3 linked regions of the Arabidopsis thaliana genome follow. The protein of the gene in region 1 interacts with the protein of each later gene in a pairwise test. Each region holds a gene or a part of one and is shown in the gene's direction. Other genes may lie near its edges.

Region 1 (8,693 bases):
TCCAAGAAGATCGTTGGAGCTAAAACAAAGAAAATGGTGGATCTCTGTTTCTTTATGTCTTTTCTTAGTCTTACTCGGAGATTCTCTCGTCATGCTTCTCTTGAACTTCTTCTATGTCCAAATGAAGCAAGACCGTCGAGAAGAGTATGACCAAGATCTACAATATAAAGGAACATGGACGCAAGCTCTGATCCAAAACGCTGCGTTTCCTATTCTCATCCCTCTCTTTTTCATTTTCCCTAAACCAAAACAACACCTTGAAACCAACAATACTAGTTTCCTCTCCTTGCGTCTCTTCTTCCTTTACTTATCTCTTGGTGTTCTTGTTGCTGCTCACAGCAAATTGTTCGCACTCGGGAAATTAGTCTCAAACTATGGCATCTTCTCATTGATTTCCACAACACAGTTGATATTTACCGCTGTTTTAACAGCCATCATTAACCGTTTCAAGTTTACTAGATGGATCATCATATCGATATTACTCACTATTGTGATTTACGTTCTCGGTACTCCTGACTTTGGAGGACAGCCTCATGACGGCGAAGAATTCGGATACAACATCCAAGCTTGGTTAGCTTTCTCTGCTACAATTGCTTTCTCATTATCTCTTTGCTTAATCCAACTCGGGTTCGAGAAACTCCAAGTGAAGACCAAGAGATATGGTAACGAGAAAGTGTTTAGAATGGTCTTAGAGATGCAAATATGTGTCGCTTTTGTCGCCTCGGTTGTTTGTCTCGTGGGCTTGTTTGCGAGTGACGAGTATAAGGAACTGAAAGGCGATAGCAAGAGGTTTAAGAAAGGGGAAACGTATTACGTTCTGAGTTTGGTCGGGTTGGCTTTGTCGTGGCAGGTTTGGGCGGTCGGGATGATAGGTTTGGTGCATTATGTTTCGGGTCTTTTTGGTGATGTTGTTCATATGTGTGCTTCACCATTTGTGGCTTTGTTTGTTGTCTTGGCATTTGATTTTATGGATGATGTGTTTAGTTGGCCTAGAATTGGTGCTTTGATAGGAACAGTTTTGGCGTTAGGATCTTACTTCTACACTCTGCACAAGAGAAACAAGAAGAAGATGGCGGAACTTAACCAAAGTGAGAACAATGTTGAAGTTTAGTTTCTCATGTCAAGTGTTTGTCAATCTGTTCTTGTTATTCTGATTCTTGTAAGTCAATGTCCAAAATATGTTGTATAGATATGGATCAAACTATGTAATTTATTTATTAGTTGGTTTAGTTTGATTTTTTTCTTTTCTCTGTTTTGCATTTATTTGTTACAATACTTTGCTAGAGGAGTGAATCCCTATATATTTCTCAAGTAGACTTGATTGTTAACATCTATGGGGCATCGAGACACCAATAAAGCCACATCCCACTTGATGATATAAGCTGCACCAAGCTCTTATGCCTTTAGGCTCGTACCTTTCCTATATAGAATGCAACGTAAACGTCTTCCCCAAGCAACTCAAATCCAGAGGCTGATGAGAAGAAGTCTTTTATATGCTTATTTGTTTTGTATATCTTCCATGGGTGATCATTCCTCTGCAAGTGGTTTATTACGTCGATGAAAGCCAGAAATATACCAATAGGCCATGCACATTTCGGTTACAGAAGTGGCACTCTTCATATTACTAGCTGGAGAAGAAAGGTTTTCGATAGAGCTTAACGGAAATGGTAAAGTATGGTATGAGATAGAGATAATGTTATCACATTTCTTGTCACTCCTCCAATATCCTTAATATAAAGAAAGTAGCTCTAGCCTAAACAAGATTCAGAGAAACCTAGGAACAAACATTTGGAAACAACTCTGCTCAGAACCAAACATCATCAAAGTACTACCATCGTCTAGCTTAAACACCTTAACCTCTACTTCCTTTTCATGGACAAAGTATATAGAATTCGGTACGCATCAATAGTACTCATGAGCCATAACCGAGAAACAAGTATCAGTCGCCATCACAACCGCACTATCTCTCAAGGACTTAACTTCAACCCACTTCCCTAATTCCTCATCAACCTTATAAACATTGAAACCAACCATTTTGGGACATTCTATTTCCACCTCTTGGTCCACATTGCATTTTTCATTCCCAAAATCGTCATGTATCACATTAGAAATCCGAGGAGCTACACCAACATAAACATTATCATCCAAGTCCAAGTAATCAGCTTTTCTTTTCAAGACATTCTCTTTAAAAAGACGATCAACAATATAAAGCTCTCCACAACATGCAACCAAGCTTAAGTCTCCACCACATTCATTAGTAAGTGAAGTTCCATACCTAACGATACTAATCCACCAAACAATGCCTTTCGTATCCAACACGTAAATTAGCTCTTTGAGAACAATAATATCAGAGAATTCACCAATCTGATCTTTGATTCTAGTCCAAATCTCTCCATTCCAAAACCTAATCTTCCCATCAAACCCTATTCCAAAAACTCGATCTCCTCCCGCAAGAACAACTTTCTTAAACCCAAAAGCAATGGACCATTTCGGTTTAACAATAGATGTGATTTGGTTTAGCTTATCAATTAATTTTTTTATTTTATTTTAAAATAAATATATATTTTAATTCTTTTATAAATCTCTGATTGGTTGGTTAATTAATTGTTTGTATTTCCCTTTTACGAATTTAAATAAAGTAGATGTTACAAAAGAAAATGAAAATCTCTGAAAAACTCTCCTGATTCAAAAGAGTAAGAAATCTACAAAAGAAAACCACAGAGAAAATCTCTACTGATCAGTTTCTCTCCATTGGTGATCGCTCGTCAGAAAAATTGAGCTCGATTTTGTATAAATTGAAGAAAAAGAAGAAGATCATCAAATGCGTGATTTTTACTTTTCCGTTCAAGGTAAATCGATCATCTTCGGCTTCAAGCCTGAAGATAGCGCTTCGAATTGGTTGAATTGTGTAATTTTGGAGGAAGTTAAGGTTCTTGCAGTAACAACTGCTTTACTGATTTTTCTGGTTTTTTTTGTAATTGTAGAAACTGAGTTTAAGGACAAGCTTTGTCCCTTTTAGTGGAATTTAGATCTGGTTTTGTCGTAATTTCTTCTGGGTTTCAATTCTAGTCTTCTGTAGTAGTATCAGTGTTGTGTTATCACCCACTATTTCAAAGTTTCAATGAAATTTTAATACCAAGTTGTTGACTTTTCTGTGTTTCTATCTGATCATAATTAACTTCGGAAGAAATTATTGTGACCTCAGAAAATTAGGTAGCTGATTTGATTCTTTTGTTTTCTCAATTATTCTCTTGTTAATTTCATTGTTCACATAGAAATGGTTCATATTTTCTGCTAATATGTTTCCTCTTTCATTTCAATTCACCATATTTCTTCTTTGTAGTGATTGATCAAGGGAACATAAGCAGCTAGAGACCACACCACTCAGTTATTTCTATCTCATAGTGCTTGTGGATGTTCAAGCTATAAGAATGTGCTCGGTGGTTCTATGAATATATAGGTATTATGCGTTATGTTTGGTTTGTAGAATATATTCTGAGAAGGTGATAGGATGGTCGATTTGCTAACTTTATGTCACTTCTGAAAGTGAGTTTGCATGTTTCTCTTTTCTCTTAAATCTGCTTTAAGTGTTAAGATATTTTGTTTTGAATATATTTGGAAAAACCAGTGACTTTGGTATTCTGTTAGCATGTTCCAACGATCTAAATTCTGTGGGTATATACTCTGGTAATTGCTTATACTGTTTTTGCTTTATGAAAACGATTTTAATATTCTACTAGGAAGATTGGTGTTTTGATGGGATGGGACACCAAATTGCTAAGGTTTATGGTGTTATCAATTACTAGTACGTGTTATCTTCCGAACAACCACCACCATGGAATCTCATCTGGGAAATGGAGTAGGCAGTTCGAGATCTGCCAAAAATACAAAGAACACTTCTAGTTCAGTTGATTGGTTGAGCAGAGATATGCTTGAGATGAAGATAAGGGACAAGACAGAGGCTGATGAGGAGAGAGTAAGTTTTGCATCTCCTTTCTTAGGTCTTTATTTCTTTGTGAACTTCTTTAGCTTATCTTCCTTCTCATGCGCCCCTCTATTTGATGAAGTAGTTTACTTGAATTTGATGTTTTTGCCATGTTGCAGGACAGTGAACCAGATATCATTGATGGAGTTGGTGCAGAACCTGGCCATGTGATCACAACTACACTCCCTGGACGAAATGGTCAATCAAGACAGGTTAGATGGTCATAGAAACTGTGTGTCTAGATTGTTAGTGAGACGTACTGATTCTTATACAACTGTTTTTAATTTTGATTGACAGACAGTCAGTTACATAGCAGAACACGTAGTCGGGACTGGTTCATTCGGAATGGTTTTCCAAGTGAGTAAGATTGTCTATCTTGTTGTTTTACCATTGGTTAAGATTCCCAAACATTTTATGTCTCCTTGTGGTAGGCTAAATGCAGAGAAACTGGGGAGGTTGTTGCCATCAAAAAAGTTCTACAAGACAAGCGTTACAAGAACAGAGAATTACAAATTATGCAGATGCTAGACCATCCGAATGTTGTTTGTTTAAAGCATAGCTTCTATTCAAGAACAGAAAATGAAGAGGTTTATCTAAATCTTGTCCTTGAGTTTGTTCCCGAGACTGTCAATCGTACTGCCAGAAGCTACAGTAGAATGAACCAGCTGATGCCATTGATATATGTCAAACTCTACACTTACCAGGTGATTATTTCCTGTTTCTGATCTTTTTTTGTTTCTCTTTATGTAAGCGTCATAAGTAATCACTCAAAATTTAAGCTATATTCAGTTTCTTGATATGTGTCAGCTGGTTTCTTGTGGTTCATTCCATAATGGATGTTGGAGATTTCCTCTTGTTTTGCTAGATAGATTGTAAACCAGAAGGCAAAGTTCCTATCATTTCTGATACTATTGTACTTTTCCGTTAGAAGTTGGAACTATTGAACATAATTGATTGTCTCTATATAAAAGAAGTAGTGCTCAAACGTTTGTTGAACACTTAAGTGTGAATCGGGCCTGATAATTTGTTGGACATTCTCCAATGATTTTTGAGGATTTTATGTTAATGGCTACAGATTTGCAGGGGGCTTGCTTACCTTCATAATTGCTGTGGTCTTTGTCACCGTGATATAAAGCCCCAAAACCTGCTAGTAAGTTCCAATTTTTTCTCACTGAAAAGAAGTTGATGATAGATTTCACTTTCCTGTAAGCTACTTTTGTTTGAATTTTTTTTATATAGCAAGGTCTTTGTCACCACACATAAGGATTTTAAAGGCATTTGTGTACATAAATATCAGACAGTGTTCTTTAATTCTACAAATTTGATCATTATATAGTAATGACATGATGATATTTCGTTATTACATGCCTGGTGGGATTAAGCAATGAGGTTATGTATGCATCTCGCTAATGTTTATTTCAACCTCAGAGTGGTACTGGGCTTCTGTTCTGTAGTTAATTTCACTTGCTATTTGTTCAAGTAGGATGTTAAAATCTAACTTTTCGGAAAATAGTTTTGGTTTTTAGCTGGTCTGTTCGTTGGTTTAAATATTTAGAATCCTATTTTCTTGTGATTTCACAAGGATTGAACTTGTTCCATACTGTTTCAGCTGTTAGGCTCACCATACCTGCAATTGACTAGAATTTGTCATAAACAAATGTTGCCTTGTTTTTATTAAACAATCTTTTATTTTTTTCTTTACACCTATTGTGATGTGCAGGTGAATCCACACACACATCAGCTGAAAATTTGTGATTTTGGGAGTGCAAAAGTGTTGGTAAAGTTTATCAGCTATAGCTCTTAGTGGTTTAGTTTTCCTAGTCCATGCTTAGATTATGACGTGTCATGGTCCACAGGTGAAAGGAGAACCCAATATTTCTTACATTTGTTCAAGATACTATCGTGCCCCAGAGCTCATTTTTGGAGCCACCGAGTACACAACTGCAATAGACATATGGTCCACAGGTTGTGTGATGGCTGAACTGCTGCTTGGACAGGTTGGAGCACTATATTTGCATTAGCTATATGCTTGTTATTCTATTTCTTCACCCTCTTACTCATTTTTGCTCTCGCGGACTTGTTTTACAGCCTCTGTTTCCTGGCGAAAGTGGAGTCGATCAACTTGTTGAAATCATAAAGGTAGTATTTTTGCTATCAATTCTTTTAGGGTTAGTTGTATTTACAAAGAAAATGACATCTTTAGAGCTGGCACTGACTAATAGTTTCTCACTGCTGATTATATTTTTTTTATAAAACTTTACCACCATTTTTGTAGTAGGACTCGTACATTCTCTCTTCATGGTTTTTTAATTGTCATGCAGGTTTTGGGTACACCAACAAGGGAGGAGATCAAATGCATGAATCCAAACTACACAGAATTTAAATTTCCTCAGATAAAACCTCATCCTTGGCACAAGGTATACCGCTAGTAGTATCAATTATCACCTAATAGGGTTCTCTTAATCGATATATGACCAAGCTTGTCTCGGTTTAGTGAGGTTGATTGAAGTATATGTGATCAATTAACTTCATATTTCATTCCTCTGGCATATAGAGCGATGTGACAGCTTTGCCTTTGTATATAAGATTCTTATACAAACAAATAAATTGAACCTTTGCCAAAAGGAATTACTCATGCACACACTCGTGGGGGTTGAAAACAGTTAGGCTTCATGATCTTGGCTTTTTTGCTGGTTTAAGTTTCTATCTAGATGAAGTTTTATTCAGCATTTTATACAGCTGACATTCCAGAACTCTGTTACTCGTTATTCTTATCTTTTGTTTTGCTCCGTGCTAAAATTTCTCTTAAGTGATCATTTCCTTGGTTTTACTTCTATATAGTCATGTTCTTACAGCACAAGAATCATGTGTTTGTTACTTTCAGGTATTCCAGAAACGTCTGCCACCTGAAGCAGTAGATCTTCTTTGTAGGTTCTTCCAGTATTCTCCTAATTTGAGATGTACAGCGGTAAATTATTCATAGCTTTTCTCTGACTTTGTTACATATTCTACTTCCATATTTTTTTTGGGATCAGCATCAGAAGCTAACCCATTATAAGTATGTCTTATGATTTTCTGATAGGTGGAAGCTTGTATCCACCCTTTCTTTGATGAGCTAAGAGACCCAAATGCTCGTCTGCCAAACGGCCGGCCACTTCCTCCGCTATTCAATTTTAAACCACAAGGTAAGGTTCTGTTATTTGCTTCTTCTTTTTTCCGTGTTAAATTCTTTATAAGGGAAGAAAATTAGTATGTGTTATTGATAAGCGTGTGTCCTACAGAACTCTCTGGTATCCCTCCTGAAACTGTGGACCGACTTGTCCCAGAACATGCCCGTAAGCAGAACCACTTCATGGCATTACACTCGTAAGTCTCTTCCGTGTTTTCTGTACGACCTATCGGGTGTTCTCTTCTTTTCTCTAAGCTCTCTAGATCCCAGTCTTTGGGAAAAACCAGTAGAGCTCTCTCTCTGTAAACAGAAATCACTGGAAAAAGAAGCAATGACTTTTGTATTAAGGTGCTTGCGCATCCCTTGTCGTGAAGTGAGGATGCGTAAAATACAACACTACTTTGTTAGATATATGATATAGAGGAACATACTTACATTTGCAAGACTCCTGCCACAACACAATTTTCCAAAAAATTTGTGAACCTTAAAATGAATTGACAGTTTAGTTTATTTGTCCATGTTTACGAACTTGATTTGAACCATATTACTCGAATTACACCAAACCAATTTATCTTCGAGTTAATTTCAAATAAGGCATTTGTTTTACAAAATAAGGCTTAAATATTGAAGGCCCAATAAGACCATGTACACAAAAAGCCTTTTAAACTAGTTTCACCTCTCTCTCCCATTTTTAGGGTTTCGTCAGAGACAGAAGTGAGAGAGGAGGAAAAATGCCGGCGGGACACGGAGTGAGGGCGAGAACAAGAGATCTGTTCGCGAGACCATTCAGGAAGAAGGGTTATATTCCACTCTCCACTTACCTCAGAACCTTCAAGGTCGGCGATTACGTCGATGTCAAGGTTAATGGAGCTATCCACAAGGGTATGCCTCATAAGTTCTACCATGGTCGTACTGGTCGCATCTGGAATGTCACTAAACGTGCCGTTGGTGTTGAAGTCAACAAACAGGTTTGATTACTCAAAACTTTTAATCTGTTTGAAAGAGTTTTTTGTTGTTGAAATTAGGGTTTGAAATTGATTTTGATTCTTTCATTTGGGGTTTAATTCGTCTTTCTGTGAGCTATCTGTTTTGAATTCTGAGATGTTGGATTAGTGTTGGCTCGAAAGTTTCAAGCTTTTCTTATTGGGTCGTTCGTTTACTATTATTATATGTTTTGATGTTGTGAAAGCTTCTCTTTTCATTTCTTGTGTTTATGATTAGTGTAATCTGTTGGAGAGCTAAGTTGGTGTGTTGGGTTGGGTTTTAGATTGGGAACAGAATCATAAGGAAGAGGATACATGTGCGTGTGGAGCATGTGCAACAGTCAAGGTGTGCTGAGGAGTTTAAACTCAGAAAGAAACAGAACGATGTGCTTAAGGCTGATGCTAAAGCCAGAGGTGAGACTATCAGCACCAAGAGACAGCCTAAAGGTCCTAAACCGGGTTTCATGGTTGAAGGTATGACATTGGAGACTGTCACTCCCATTCCTTACGATGTTGTCAACGATCTCAAGGGTGGTTATTGAGTTGTTTCCATTTT
Region 2 (3,676 bases), on another chromosome or scaffold:
ATATTATAGTATAATGTATTAGATATCAGAACTCGCATATACGTGCAAAATATGAAAAAAAGTAATAGATTTTTAAAATATATATAATATTTTGTTATAAGTAAACTTTGTAATAGTATAGATATTATAAAGGTAAGAATAACAACCAAAATTCAATTGTGTTCGTGTATAATTATATTTTAAAATCTGGACTCACACGGGGAAATAACCCAAACTAAAACCAAATTTATATCCTATTTTACACCAGTAATCAAACTGTTATAATGTTTTGATTAGTTTAGAAAATTAAAACGTATATTTGACGTATATTTCTTGGAACGGAAAACCCATAATGTGATGTATCTATCATAAATTCTTCGTTCCATAACCCGTCTGTATATGTGAAATAAAAATACTACCAACGCCCATCACAAATAGAATTTGTGTCACAAAATACGTACATGCAGGGTTAATTTATTTTATATAGTGCTCATAACCCAAACTCATACCAGTTGGATATTTAATTTGATGTCCAGTTTGGTTTCAAATTTCTTTATATAGTGCTTCCGTTTCTTTTCATGTCGTTTGTGTCTCATAATTCCTATTTTCATTTCATTCCATTGAAAATACGTTCCAAAATTCTTATTTGCTTACCTTTAAATATCATGTTATATATGACTGAGTTTTGCGGATTAACATATAGGATGTTAAAGTTTACAAATATATCATAAATTAAAACACAAAAATACTCTTTCTTGATTTTTTTTCAAATTCAAAAATATGAATAGCATTATAACAAATAATTTTGTAAAAATTTATATTTTAACAAATGTAATAATGTTTATTTCCTTACCTACATGTTTAATATTCTTCTTTCCCTTGTTTAATCATAATTAATTGGATTTTTGGAATATAATTAAAATTTTGAAATACCCCTACAAAAGCAATTTATTTTGCTGGATAATTTGTTCTGAATGAAAAATGTATAATTAGTTTATATTATTTCAAAAGTTTGTGCACTAATATATTATAGATTTATTTGAAAAAAGATCCGGTTGAAAAATAGAAAAAAGAAAATCCAAAATATTTCAAAATTAGTATGTAAAATTTATTGTTTAGATATTTCTAAATGTAAGGCATAATGATAATTATTTTAAATTAATTATTTTAGTTTAATTCATAGTAAATATTAATATTTGTAACATCTTATCTCGTTTTTAAAAATTTTAAAATAAATTTTCGTTTTATATTTCAAAATACTTAACCCAAAATTCTAAATTGAATTTATTTATCTATCACAAATTATGATTTTTTTATTCATGATATCAAGCAAGTCTTATGATTTTTTAAAATTTTAAAATAAAACTTAACTTCCAAAATGTTAGTTTAATAATATTGTATAATTTGATATCAAATCTAAGTTTTTCAATTTTTATTGGTTAACAAATTTTAAGAAATATATTTTATTTTTTCGTCTATAATTAATAGGAAAGAGAAAGTGAGTTTAATTTTGGGAAACTAATAATTACTTAAAAGAATATTACCAATTTTTATATTTAAATATATTAATTTTGTGATTACTATTGTATTCTTAATAAATTTATTTAAAAACACTAACAATCAATGGCATTCTATGTAATATTTTACCCTTCATAAGGTTGTTTATTTTCAATGATTTCCAATTAATAGTATAGATGCATCTCGCAACTGGATTTTTTTTTTTTTTTTTTTGTAAAGGATCTTCATGAAATTTCATCAGATGAAAATTTTACGGTTCGCTTAATGAGAAACGGTTCGATCTTTATGTGTGCAAGGTTAGTAACATCTTACATTTTCATACATATTTTCATTTCGTCATATTATTTATATAAAACAAGAATACAAGATATATATTTTAAATGAAAGACCATTAGACGTTACATGTATTTTGTGTTATAAAAATTGACGTATTTTTGTAAGACCGAGTCACCAAAATGAGTTAGGTACAACCGTGCAAGATATCGCTTAATGGACTCAATTTCATAGAACATGCACATCTCCAATTATTTACGTTTTAGCTCAAATATTATGTTTTTTTTTTCCTAAGATTTGTTTTTTCTTTCCCTGGCAGATTTGATTAATCAAATAATGCATGTGTGTGTGAACACGTAAAAAAATCGTGTCCCAACTTGTTTATGGCCATGCAAAAATAACGAATCGAATTTTGTAAAAAATAGCACTTTCATAAAAGTATTTTGACACTTTAAGATCTAAACACGAAATAAGAGCGTACCTCCACTTAATATCTTGATGCACCATAATTTCATTAACGACTAGCCAAAGTTATAAACCACAAACTAAGTTCCAATATATAAACTAACTTCTAACAAAAAAGGGTTATCCAAATGTGTATATCTATAGTTCTTTATTTTCTTTTGACAAAATGTGGAAATATATAGTAACAAAACTAAATATATATTACATATTCGGACACCAAATAAAACTCGACATCTTTAAGAAATGTATATAAAGACGCATCAAACATATCCTCACGCATGCATGCATTACGTATAGAAGAACATACAAAACACTCTTTCTCCACATAACATACAAACTTTCCTCACTTCCGATCAAATTACGAAATGGAGGCGTCGTTCATTAGATCGCTACCGTCTGCCGGAAACTTCGCCAACCTATTGCCGACCGGGACCGCCCTCATATTCGAAACCCTACTACCGTCTTTCTCCAATGGCGGCGAGTGCAACAACAAACCCGTCAATAAACTCCTCACCATTACTCTCATCTCCTTTTGCGCCGCGGCTTGCTTCTTCTCCTCCTTCACCGACTCATATGTAGGCCAAGATGGCCGCATTTACTACGGAATTGCCACCTCTAACGGTCTCCACATCCTCAACGACTATCCAGACGAAGGTTATGATCCAGAGTCCGGCTTAACGGCTGATAAGAGAGAGAGATATAAGCTCAGTTTTGTAGATTTCGTGCATGCTTTCGTGTCGGTTATCGTGTTCTTAGCGTTAGCCGTAGAGAGCTCGGATTTTCGGAGGTGTTTGCTCCCGGAGGACGATGAAAACAGTTGGGGTGGTCATTTTGTACTTATGATCAAGTACTTTGCTGTTATGGTGTTGACAATGGCAAGCTTCTTCTTTGCTATCTTTCCCTCAAAACGGAGAGGCATCGGAATTTCAGACATTCGTTGATTCATAACATTTATTTGTGTATGTACATATATGTGCCTATGGTCTAAATATGTTGCTATGGTAATAATCTTTATACCCCAAATTCCATGATTGATCTTATCTTATTCAATTCATGATCTTTATAAACGAGTAATCATCTCACACGGTCTAAAAATAACAATAAGCAATGTAGGCTTTGCGGTCCTGTGGAAAGAATTGTAAAGAGCTTTGCCTAGTCTTATTGATCTTCATGATTAATACACAAATCTTTAACAAGCAAGAAGAGAAGAAGAAGGAATAAACCAGAAGAAAAACTGATCAAGATGGTTGTGAATGTTATCCATCTCAAATCAGATATATGCTGTCCAAGACTCCAAAACCAGCTGCAACGCCGCCTTCATCTGATGATGCGATCTTCGTGCGCATTAGATAACCACTCTGCTCGTTTACTATAACTTCGTCTTTGCTCCTACATATTTCATTTAATCAAAGATTATGGCACAAAATTAAGTTGAGAATTA
Region 3 (3,983 bases), on another chromosome or scaffold:
ATTGAGAATGAGATTTCAAATTTAGAGAAGTTGTTTCAAGGGCTTGGTTTAAAGATTTTGAATCATTCCCAGAACAAGTAAAGAAACAGAGATTTTCATTACTGTATCAAAATATAGATTCTACTCATATAATTTTGGAAATTTTTGTCATTTGTATTCTTGATAGGTAACAAGAATTCTAAGATTTGTCTTTAGTAATTTGCTCATAGGTCTATTGGAAGCCGTAATCCGTCATGAGCAAGCTGTACATGGATTCCTTCCCTAGAAATCAACATAGTCTCTATTAGCATTCAACGATGTTGATTTATAGAAATCTTATAACATTGTTTCATTGCATACCTTAGAGACCATTCTGCAAGTATCTCATTGTATTCATGGTGATCAAACTCGTGTGTCATACCCGTTAAAAGCGCTCTCTTTGGACATAGCCTCTTTAAGATCTCAAGAGCCTAAAGAATAGGAATATTGAAACTTACTCTCAAAAAGGTTTAGAGAAGTGAAGCATTCTTTGGGAAGAAAAAAAAGAGAACCATTGAAACAAACCTCTGTAAAACAGATGTGTGTGGGATGTGGTCCTCTCTATTATCAAAGAGATGGTCAGCAAGAAAGGTTATCAAGATCGAAAAAGCGGTAAACAAAAGTTATGAGATGATGTGAACCTTCCACGGTATATTTGTATCCAGGATAAGAAGATCTAACTGTCCAGCCCCAGCTTTGGAAATAGCTGCTTAATCAAAGATTCATAAGAATATCAATCTTTCTCTTTAGTAGAAGTGAACTACAGAGGTATAATGATTAGGGCATAACATAATGAGCTCTTACCATACTCGGTACTCGGTGGAATCCGTGATACGTCTGATATATAAGCCACTTTACTTTTATCGCCGAAGAGGAAACCTAAAGCAATGTAGTCCTCTCCATGCATCACCTAAAGCATAACTAACATTGTTGAGTCTATAAGGTCTCATGGAAGAATTAGACTGTTTTGATTTCTCAAAAGTGAAAAGAAATTTAACCGGAAGAGGCGTGAAAGATAAGCCCGAGGCAGCGAATGGTTCGTCACAATTCTCTTCGATGTTTTTCCAGTCAAGAAGTGAAACTCGTCTAGGTACTTCTTTTACCTTCTTTTCAACCAAATAAGGAAACCTTGTAGCAATACTGCACAATTTTTTGTTGCCTTAAAAGTCTCATCAAATGCTAATTTGAAAAGCTTTAAGCCAGAGTTGAGATAGAGAACACTAATCGAAGATGGTACCTCTCCATTGTAAATTGAGATAGAAAGACGGGAAGTGGATCGGTATCAACAATAGTTGCACCACGAGGTTGAAGAGATCGAATTTCATCTAAGCCATGAACCGCATCTGCGTGCTCATGAGTTAGAATGATCTACACAAAATCATACAAGCATTAGTCAGTAAAAGTTAGATTTCATTTCAGAGAAAAAAATAGATGCAAGAGATCAAGAAGATAAGTATATAAAGGGCTTAACGGAATCGACTCGAGGAATCTTATAAAAGGTAAACCAACGAAGGACTTGCTCTCTAAAACTCTTGCCAACATCAATAAGTATGTACTTATGTCTACCATCTTCTTCCTTGCTGCAATAATCAATCAAGAGCGATGTATTGCATCTGCCAAAAAACAGAGAATCAAGATTCAAGAATGTTCACCAAACCCTAATATATCTGAAATAATTTCCCAAGAACACTAGAAATCGGATGGTTCATTTTTACCTAAAATGGATTAAAACCTAAACTCCAACACGAATATAGACAACAGTAGATGTCTCTTTTTTCAATCAAAACTCCCAACTTCAAAAGGGTCTTTACGGAAAGCAACAAGATTTGACATTTCACAAATCTCCACAGCTTCAAAGACCAAAACCCAAAGAGAAGAAACTGATGACAAGATTTACCTGTAGTTAGGGTTAAGGTGAGGAAGTAAAGAGAGGGACTGAGAACAGACATGGCAAGGAGGATCTGACGGCTGGAGTAAGCATCTGAAATCGGGAACTGCACCGGAGCAGCCTGTTCCAAGAAAGATCAGAGCCGTTCCATCATCATCAGATTGATTCTTCTCCATCTTCTCAAGATTCTGATCTTCTGGTTGGTCTAGCCAAAGCTGATTAATGCCAACGGCTATATCTTTGTTTATTGTATTAGTTGAGATTATATGCGATCCCTTACACAAACTTGTCTTTTTCACAGTATATATATTCCTTTTATTAACATAAAATATCTAAGCCATTACTTTGAGTCTTTGACACTGATATATGTAGTCATAATGATATTGACTACTAATTTTTCCAAACAAAATAGTAAAAGATTAATGACTTACCCCACAAATCCACCGGATTGTGATTTTTTTTGTTATATATCATTGTTTGACTCCTCTAAATTAGAAAAAAATCTTCTACATTTCTTTTTCTGTATAACAAAATCTTAAATTTAAATCGTTATGGTAACGAAATCTTTTCTTTTGTTTTTCCAGTTTATTGATTAAATATACTTCCACAGAATTTAAATTTACTTAATTATTAAAAACAATGCAGTCACAATCTTTCCAATTACCATTTCATTATCTCACAAATTCGACCAAATGTTTTTCATATTTCACAAAAAAAAATATATTAAAGCGCGTGTGAACCATAACCACGCGATTGCCAGCTCAAAAACAAATTCACAAAGAAGCGTACACGACACGCGCTACGACTGAGTGTAAGGATTCTCATAAACTGCTCTATTTTATTTTGCTCAGTCGCAGACAAATCTCAAAACAGATTCGATCGATAAGCAAGAACTTCCAATCTCTAATGGCAGATCAAACAGAATCTCCAAGATCGTATCATATCTTCATCACAATCATGAGTAAAAGACGGACATGGGTTTGTCTCTTCATCGCTGTCTACGCAATTCTCGTATCTTCTTCATGGAACCTCCTGAGATCAGTTCTTAACTGGTACAAGCTTCAATACACGTCATCAAATTCAGATTATTCTCCTTCAAGATTACCGGCGGTATACGCGTCGGTGGTGCTCGGTGCGATGTTTGGAGCTATGTCGATGGTGGCTGCTATGACGGTGGCGGTTCCGGCGGTGATGGTGATTTGGATATCGGTGGTGGTGTTGCTTGCCTTCTTTGGGAAATCAAGAAGAGTTTTAGTGGTTGAAGGAAGGAAGATTACGAGAGAAGTTGTCGGATTTGTGTTTAAGGTTCTTTTGAAAGAAGGCAATGTTGTTGCTGCTTTTTGTGCTGTTTTAGCTTATTTTCTGCTTATTAGAAGAGATTTTGACTCATATTAAGGTTCTTGATTTTTAGATTATTTAGGGAATTTTGATCTAGATTATCTTGAGTCACTCCCGAATGTAAATGTAAAGTTAATTTAGAAAATCAATTGTTAGTAGTAGAATGAAGAAGTTCATGATGCATTGGCTCAATTTTTTTTGTTTGTGGTTAGATAATTTTTCTTGATGACAGCATTTAGTATCTAGAATGGATCGTCCCACAACTTCTCATTTGAGATATTGAAAATCATGATTTGTTATCCGTTTGTGGGTTCATTGCCACACAATTTCAACACATGGACCAATAACCAAGTGATTTACATATCCTATTAAGTTTGTTATCAGTTTTCACTATTTAAGTTACCCGGTTATTATTTTAGTAGCTTAAAACTACATCAACTAGTTGAAGAGGCATGTTTTGCGAAGATAAGATCATATAATAATGGGTTACACAACTTCTTTCTTACTCAAATTCCTTCTTGAGGAAGGTGTAACATTCCAACATTGAAGTAGTGGATTTCACACACTGATACTTATTTTTATAAGTACCTTTCTTGATAAAAAGAATTCTAATACCTCAACTAAAAACTCTAATTTGGGGAAAAAAATTAATGTCTGCAAACCTTTTATAACAAAAAATTCTAAGAACTCTAAAATCATGAAAATGCGTGAATCTTTTTGTCTTTGGAACATATATTGT

Evidence for each region. Proteins that work in one complex are often made in the same cells at the same time.
Region 2: the proteins of SK42 (region 1) and AT5G27370 interact in a protein complementation assay, tested with the Arabidopsis thaliana proteins (one large-scale study listed by BioGRID).
Region 3: the proteins of SK42 (region 1) and AT4G03600 interact in a protein complementation assay, tested with the Arabidopsis thaliana proteins (one large-scale study listed by BioGRID).

Annotation. Positions count from the first base shown.
Region 1 is NC_003070.9:21,430,020-21,438,712, reverse strand, and holds SK42 (shaggy-like kinase 42), read left to right. Parts: upstream 1-2,609; 5' UTR 2,610-2,836; coding exon of another isoform or gene 2,837-2,876; exon of another isoform or gene 2,877-3,200; coding exon of another isoform or gene 3,201-3,286; exon of another isoform or gene 3,287-3,343; 5' UTR 3,344-3,460; intron 3,461-3,740; exon of another isoform or gene 3,741-3,744; 5' UTR 3,745-3,835; coding exon 3,836-3,976; intron 3,977-4,104; coding exon 4,105-4,197; intron 4,198-4,282; coding exon 4,283-4,342; intron 4,343-4,416; coding exon 4,417-4,689; intron 4,690-5,060; coding exon 5,061-5,135; intron 5,136-5,705; coding exon 5,706-5,762; intron 5,763-5,841; coding exon 5,842-5,982; intron 5,983-6,073; coding exon 6,074-6,124; intron 6,125-6,306; coding exon 6,307-6,402; intron 6,403-6,869; coding exon 6,870-6,953; intron 6,954-7,067; coding exon 7,068-7,170; intron 7,171-7,266; coding exon 7,267-7,351; coding exon of another isoform or gene 7,352-7,355; exon of another isoform or gene 7,356-7,502; coding exon 7,503-7,575; 3' UTR 7,576-7,662; downstream 7,663-8,693. Other genes in the region: PUP17 (purine permease 17), read left to right, coding at 1-1,111; AT1G57906 (F-box protein), read right to left, coding at 1,903-2,463, 2,837-2,876, 3,201-3,286; AT1G57860 (Translation protein SH3-like family protein), read left to right, coding at 7,886-8,122, 8,422-8,679. UniProt on the Arabidopsis thaliana protein: May mediate extracellular signals to regulate transcription in differentiating cells.
Region 2 is NC_003076.8:9,664,711-9,668,386, forward strand, and holds AT5G27370 (inactive Serine/Threonine-kinase, putative (DUF679)), read left to right. Parts: upstream 1-2,600; coding exon 2,601-3,176; downstream 3,177-3,676. Other genes in the region: GSH2 (glutathione synthetase 2), read right to left, coding at 3,501-3,624. UniProt on the Arabidopsis thaliana protein: Involved in membrane remodeling.
Region 3 is NC_003075.7:1,603,138-1,607,120, reverse strand, and holds AT4G03600 (pyrroline-5-carboxylate reductase), read left to right. Parts: upstream 1-2,492; 5' UTR 2,493-2,812; coding exon 2,813-3,301; 3' UTR 3,302-3,483; downstream 3,484-3,983. Other genes in the region: AT4G03620 (myosin heavy chain-like protein), read left to right, coding at 1-81; AT4G03610 (Metallo-hydrolase/oxidoreductase superfamily protein), read right to left, coding at 204-261, 340-449, 544-579, 660-724, 823-928, 1,017-1,158, 1,256-1,386, 1,490-1,631 and 1 more.